Linked DNA regions of Oryctolagus cuniculus. The protein of the gene in region 2 interacts with the protein of the main gene of each other region in a biochemical or structural test. Links are inferred from orthologs where the notes say so. Each region holds a gene or a part of one and is shown on either strand. Other genes may lie near its edges.

The links.
Region 1: the proteins of USP21 (region 2) and ISG15 form a complex in vitro, tested with the Homo sapiens proteins (2 studies listed by BioGRID, with this or other methods). The link is inferred for Oryctolagus cuniculus from reciprocal best matches to the Homo sapiens genes USP21 and ISG15.

What each region holds. Positions count from the first base shown.
Region 1 is NC_091438.1:164,356,656-164,359,782, forward strand, and holds ISG15 (ubiquitin-like protein ISG15), read right to left. Parts: upstream 1,861-3,127; 5' UTR 1,209-1,860; coding exon 1,206-1,208; intron 1,013-1,205; coding exon 521-1,012; 3' UTR 503-520; downstream 1-502.
Region 2 is NC_091438.1:37,627,587-37,631,236, reverse strand, and holds the end of USP21 (ubiquitin carboxyl-terminal hydrolase 21), read left to right. Parts: coding exon 1-109; intron 110-273; coding exon 274-429; intron 430-906; coding exon 907-971; intron 972-1,225; coding exon 1,226-1,329; intron 1,330-1,520; coding exon 1,521-1,607; intron 1,608-1,877; coding exon 1,878-1,956; intron 1,957-2,176; coding exon 2,177-2,284; intron 2,285-2,363; coding exon 2,364-2,478; intron 2,479-2,680; coding exon 2,681-2,771; 3' UTR 2,772-3,053; downstream 3,054-3,650. UniProt on the Homo sapiens protein: Deubiquitinates histone H2A, a specific tag for epigenetic transcriptional repression, thereby acting as a coactivator.

The DNA.
Region 1 (3,127 bases), about 130 Mb from region 2:
GCCCACCCCCAAGCCCCATCAGGGCAGGTGAGTCCCAGATCCAGGTGCCCTCATGCACTGTCCACACTCTCCTGAGGGGGTGATGTGAACCCTGATGGTGAGTGCTCAGGCCCCGCCCTACACCTCCCAGGACCAAGGCAGGCAGGACTGGGCAGTCCAGAAGGTTCCTGGCCCCCTGCCCCATGGGGTGTGGACCTCTCCCCACCTCACTGGTTCCAGGGACTCTGGGGGTGGGGCCTGCCCTGTGGCCAATGGGCCCTGAGCAGAGCTGCCGCCCTGCTCCCGCCCCCCCACCCCCGGAGCTTGTGGGGTGAGCAGTGAGGGGCTGCCTGGCTCAGCCTGGCCAGGTCAGCTCTGGCACACGTGACTTTCCTATGTGAGGCTGTCCCTGTCATGACCCTACCATGAAGCCCTTGTCCCATAACTTGGCAACCAGACCGCCCCCACAGGGCTGCAGAATTGGGGACACAGGAGGGGTGATGGGCAGAGAGGGGACCCGGGAGGCAGCTACTTCTGTTTATTAGCAGGGCCGGGTCCCGGCAGATCCGCCCCGCAGGCGGAGGTTCAGGTACACGGTGCACTGCGGCTGGAGGCCGTACTCCCCCAGCAGGTGCTGGTCCTCCATGGGCCTGTTCTCGAAGCTCAGCCAGAACAGGTCCGGCTGCAGGCCCTCCCGCTGGGCCACCTGCAGCTTGAGCTGGGCCACCGTCTGGGTGAGCAGCACCTCGTAGGCGCTGCTGCGGCCCCTGTCATTGCGCACCAGGATGCTCAGCGGGTTGTCACACTTCTGCACCAGCAGCAGCACCGTGCTTCCCGGCCCCAGGCCCTGGGCGACCAGGGGGACCTCCTCCAGCAGCGCCGCCCCCCCGGGGTGCACAGCCAGGAGCTGCTGGAAGGCCGGCACGCCAGTCTCCTGGGCGATCCGCCGCTTCAGCTCCGACGCCGTCAGGGACTCGCTCAGGGGCACTGAGATCTCTTTGCTGCCCAGCATCTTCACCTTCAGGTCCTTCCCCTGTGGGCATCACCAGGGCTCAGAGACCGGCGCCAGGCCTGGGTCCGCACACCAGGCGCCAGCCGCAGGTGCAGCCCCCTGCGTCCGCCGATGCGCCCCTCCTGTCCCCACCCTGGGAAACCCCACCAGACAGACGAGGGGGAGGAAAACCGGCCGGACCACGCGCCCCCCGACACCGCGCGTCCCGGCTTACCATGGCCGTGGCTGCTTCTGGGTGCTGCTCAGTCCCTGGCAATGCCGCTGCCCCTCAGCCTCTAGCGCGTTCCCGGCCAGCCTCAGCCCATTTATGGGCCTCGGCTGCGGACGTCAGGGGGCGGTGCTGCCGCCCAGCTGGTGCCGGGGCCAAGCAGGCTTTGGTTTTGGTTTCCTTTTCCCAGGGCGAGCCCCAGAGGGAGTAGGAGAAACAAAACAGAAAGACGATGTGAGCTGGCACAGCTCCAGGGGTGGGGGCACGGCAAGGGGCCCCCACAGTGCCCCGGCAGCCTGCCTAGCCGTGCCCAGCAATGCCCAGCACCAGCACCCGGAGTCCTCAGCAGGACACTCAGCGCTCACAGGGACGTGGGCTGGGGACTGGAGACTTTCGGTTTCCATTTGCCAGATTGCAAAATTGATGAGGCCAGGAAACGTCACGGCGGTCACTTCCAGAACTACATAGGACGCCAACAGTCCCAGCCCCCCCCCCCCCACGGAGACCTCCGTGGGCTCAGGACGTGGCCTCTGGTCAGGTTGTTTCTCAATGAAAGACCAAGTGTATTTTGCTGCCTTTCGAAGTGAACTCAGAATGTTTGCACATGTGTCTGATAAGGGTCTCTGTGGGCGTAGAGAATTCTTACAAGTTCAACAATGAAAAAAACCACAATTTAAAAGGGAGCAGTGGAGATGCCCACACAGGAACGCCTGCTTCAAGTCCTGACGCCACCTCCAGTGCCAGCTCCCTGCTGGTGCCCGGCTCAGGTACCTGGGCCCCTGCACCCACAAGGGAGACCCAGGAAGAGCTCCTGTCTCCCGGCTTCAGCCAAGCCCAGCCCTGGCTCTTGTGGGCATTTGGTGTGTGAACCAGTGGAGGGAAACAGCTCTCTCCCTGTCTTCAAATAAAATAAACAAACATTTTAATGTCTTTTACATGAATTTCACCTAAAAAACAAAACAAGAGCTCTCGCCATTTTCACCGCCTGTGGAGCAGCAGGTCATCAACCGCCTCCTTTGCCGACAGGCACCAGCGCGTGGCCGAGCTCCCGAGACGGGACGGGACTGATGGCCAGGAGTGCAGCCCCACCAGCCCCGGACGGCCAGTCGAGGTTGTTCCCAAGTTTCTGCTGTCACAAACAGCACACACCAAAGTTGGCTGAGACTAAATAAAAATGAGGTATTTAAATAAATAAATAAGTGAATGAAATTTTTAAGAATGGAAAAGCAAAGTGTGCCCGCCATGATTCTGAGTATCAACCCTGACCCTGCCTCCCCGGCCCAGAACTCCCTGGGGCACCATCTCCGCTGAGCTGTCAGAGAAAAAGCACAGACACTTAGTGAAGGGAGCAGGCGTCCACCGTCTCACTTCCACGTCCACCGTCTCACTGCCCACGTCCACTGTCTCACTTCCATGTCCACGGTCTCACTGCCCACGTGCACAGTCTCACTGCCCACATCCACTGTCTCACTGCCCACGTGCACTCTCACTGCCCACGTCCACAGTCTCACTGCCCATATCCACTGTCTCACTGCCACGTCCACAGTCTCACTGCCCATGTCCATTGTCTCACTGCCCACGTCCACCGTCTCACCGCCCACATCCACCGTCTCACTGCCCACATCCACCGTCTCACTGCCCACGTCCACCGTCTCACCGCCCACATCCACCGTCTCACTGCCCACGTCCACTGTCTCACTGCCCACGTCCACCGTCTCACTGCCCACGTCCACAGTCTCACTGCCCACGTCCACCGTCTCACCGCCCACATCCACCGTCTCACTGCCTACATCCACTGTCTCACTGCCCATGTCCACCGTCTCACTGCCCACGTCCACAGTCTCACTGCCCATATCCACTGTCTCACTGCCATGTCCACAGTCTCACTGCCCACGTCCACCGTCTCACTGCCCATATCCACTGTCTCA
Region 2 (3,650 bases):
TTGCAGATGTGATCGGAGCCCTCTGGCACCCTGACTCCTGCGAAGCTGTGAACCCTACTCGATTCCGAGCCGTCTTCCAGAAATACGTTCCCTCCTTCTCTGGATACAGGTGGGAGAGTCTGGCCATGTCTGAGGGTGAGGCCAGGTGGGGGCCTGGGCAGTATTGTTCTGGGCCTGGAGGTGTTTTTATCCTGCAAGTGGGGACCCCATCTGGGCAGGGCTAGTGTCTGGATGAGGACGGATCGTGGCCCACACTCTCTCGTCTGGCTGTAGCCAGCAGGATGCCCAAGAGTTCCTGAAGCTCCTCATGGAGCGACTACACCTTGAAATCAACCGACGAGGCCGCCGGGCTCCCCCGATCCTGGCCAACGGTCCAGCTCCCTCTCCACCCTGCCGAGGAGGGGCGCTGCTAGAGGAGCCTGAGTTAAGGTAAGGGCCCGTCCCTGCCCTCGTACCCCCGGGAGTTCCGCAGCGACATGCAGCCTTCACAGAACCCTGCTAGTCCAGACTGAAGTGGCAGGGGCTGGGAAACCCTTTAGTGTACAAAATGGTTTAAGAAGCAGTGCAGAAGTGAAAGGAAGGACGTGGGGGAGGAAGACTGAGGGGTGCAGATGGAGGCAGAAGATATGCTGGGGACGTCACTCAGGAGGGAGGGGACAGTTTATAACAGAGCTCCTTAGAAGGGTTTGAAGCTAGGTGGAGGGAGACAGCCTGTTCCCTTGTGTACATTTTCCTTTCACCTTGGATTTCCCCCAGAAGTCCCTTGAAGCATGACTCCTTTGACTTTTCCTGGAAGTCCAGGGGAGGAGCTGGGTTGTGGGTGGCGTGCAGGGCTCTGTGGTGTTGGGGGTTCCCAGTGCTCCTGCTGCCTCACGGGTGCTCCCCACTTCCCCTGATCTGTGGTAGTGACGATGACCGAGCCAACCTAATGTGGAAACGTTACCTGGAGCGAGAGGACAGCAAGATTGTGGGTATGGAATGGGGGGAAAATGTGGGAACACGAGTGGGGGTGGGGGAGGGGTACACAGGCTTCAGAGGAAAGAAAAGCTGGCATTGTCAGGGGGGTGAGAGCAGGACCGGGTGATGGAAACCAGAAATAGCGTGGGGAGTTTGTTTGGAGTGTTGGTGGTGGGAACGGACCCGGCCAGGGAAGAGGCGGGTATCAGAGAAAGCTTGTCAGGCCCCCAACAGTGACTCGTTCTTCTGTCCCTTTGCTTCTGTCCAGACCTGTTTGTGGGCCAGTTGAAAAGTTGTCTCAAGTGCCAGGCCTGTGGGTATCGCTCCACGACCTTCGAGGTTTTTTGTGACCTGTCCCTGCCCATCCCCAAGGTGGGATTCCAGAGGATGCCAGGGGTGGATGGGACGGGGGTTCTGTGACCCGGCCCTAGCCACCTCCAGAGTGCGGGCGGGACTCCTGTGGGTCTCTGGAGCGGAACTGACGCTGGACTGATTGAGAAGAATCCGAAAAGGAAATGGAGACCACACTGACCCTCCCTTCCCTGTTGCCCCCTGCTCTGCAGAAAGGATTTGCTGGGGGCAAGGTGTCTCTGCGGGATTGTTTCAGCCTTTTCACCAAGGAAGAAGAGCTAGAATTGGAGAACGCCCCAGTATGTGGGGGTTCACAAGGGATGTAACAAGGGTGGGACAGGAGGGGGCCTCCTGGGGAAAAGGGACCGCGAGATGCCTTAGTGTGGGAAGAACTCACATGTCTGGGCTTGTGTTGGAGCCTCTGGTACACGGCCTGGTGCTCCTAGGGCAAGGGGGTGCGGCCGGGGTTACGGCAGCAACGGGGAGCACACCACATTTGAGAGTGGACTGCGCTGGAGCCGCCTGGGGGGAGGAGCGCATCAACCTAACACCATTTGGCGTTTATTCAGGTGTGTGACCGGTGTCGGCAGAAAACGCGGAGTACCAAAAAGCTGACAGTGCAGAGGTTCCCCCGAATCCTCGTGCTCCGTATCCTAATCCTCAGTTTCTTATTTCTCTTAGGCTATCTCCCCTGCGTTCTCTTGCAGAGGCTGGCCACGGGGAGCTGAGGTCTCCTTAGGAAAAGCCTAACCCCCAGCCTTCCTTCCAGGGCGCCCAGTATGGGTCGGGGGAGGGGAGAGGACACTATTCAGGCCCAGTCCCCTCTAGAGATCCCCCCGCCTCCCAATGCTCCTTAACCAGGGCTTAGATCTGAATCGATTTTCCACCTCCCGAGGCTCCATCAAGAAAAGTTCAGTAGGTGTAGACTTCCCGCTGCAGCGACTGAGCCTAGGGGACTTTGCCAGTGACAAAGCCGGTGAGTCTGGTGGGGAAGGCCCCATGGAACCCTGAGAAGGGGGCACTGCACTGTTCTAAGGAGTTCTCCAACCCCTCAGGAAGCCCTGTATACCAGCTGTATGCCCTTTGCAACCACTCGGGCAGCGTCCACTATGGCCACTACACAGCCCTGTGCCGGTGCCAGACTGGTTGGCATGTCTACAATGACTCTCGGTGAGAACAGCCTCCTCTTGACTCCCGCCCGTTCCTGCTGCAGCCCTGACACCCTGCCGTGAGGCCCACGGGAGCAGAGTGCCTGGGGACAGGCGAGCTGGGGTCTCTCCTGAGCGCTCCCTGGATGCCCTGGGGTTGTCTAGTGGGGAGGAGGGACTCTACAAGGCTGGTGACAAGCCTCTCTCCCCATCTCCCTTCCTAGTGTCTCCCCTGTCAGTGAAAACCAGGTGGCATCCAGTGAGGGCTACGTGCTGTTCTACCAACTGATGCAGGAGCCGCCCCGGTGCCTGTGACGGTCCCTTTAAGCCCTGGCACCTGTGAAACCCTTTCAACACCCTTCAGCCCCAGGCTTCCCATTTACCTCAGAGACGTCTATTTTTGTGTCTTTTTAATCAGGGAGGGGGGGAGGGGGTGGCTGTAGCTCCCGTTATTTTTTTTATTAAAAAGTACCCTTCCAACCTGGAGGCTCCCTTGTCTCCCAGCCCCCTGTACAGAGCTCACCAGGCCCCGGCCCATGTACAGCCCCCAGACCCTCTGCAAACTCACTTTTTTGTGAATAAATTTATTAAGAAAAAGTGATGTCCATAGTTGCATTTGTGCCTAGTGGATGGAGGTGAATGAATTGGGCCCGGGGATCTTGTTGGGACCCAGTTCTCTCTCTGAACAGATGGGGGGAGGGGGTGCTCAAAGTCCAAGGGGAAGGGTCGCGGGGTGGGGGCGGGGGGCGTGGACCCGGACATGTGTGCCTGAGCAGTGAAGGTTTTGTATTGGAAGAAGGAAAACTCCGAGGAGGCCAGAAAAGGGAATGCAGGCACTGGGGCCGCGGGTTTCGCCGGCCATGGGGGCTGCCCCTGGAGGGCGAGACACCCAAGAACCCCTGTTGACAAACATAGTACGTTGCCGGGCGGCCCTAGCTCCCGTAGGCCCCATCTGTTGCTAACATCAAGAAGCTGTTTGTGGAGCCGCCTCCCCGCGGACTGCCTCCAGTGTCTCCATCTATTTTCCCTACAACCAAACCTCACGAGGCCCTGCCTCCAGGGCTCTCGCCCTTATCTGGGCCTGGGACGCCTGAACTGGAGAATGCGAGCTGCAGGATTCTGCGCGGGCCCTGGGACGGGCAGGGCCGGTCACGACTGCTCGCTCCCATTTGGCACTGAAGCAGTTAACCTCCA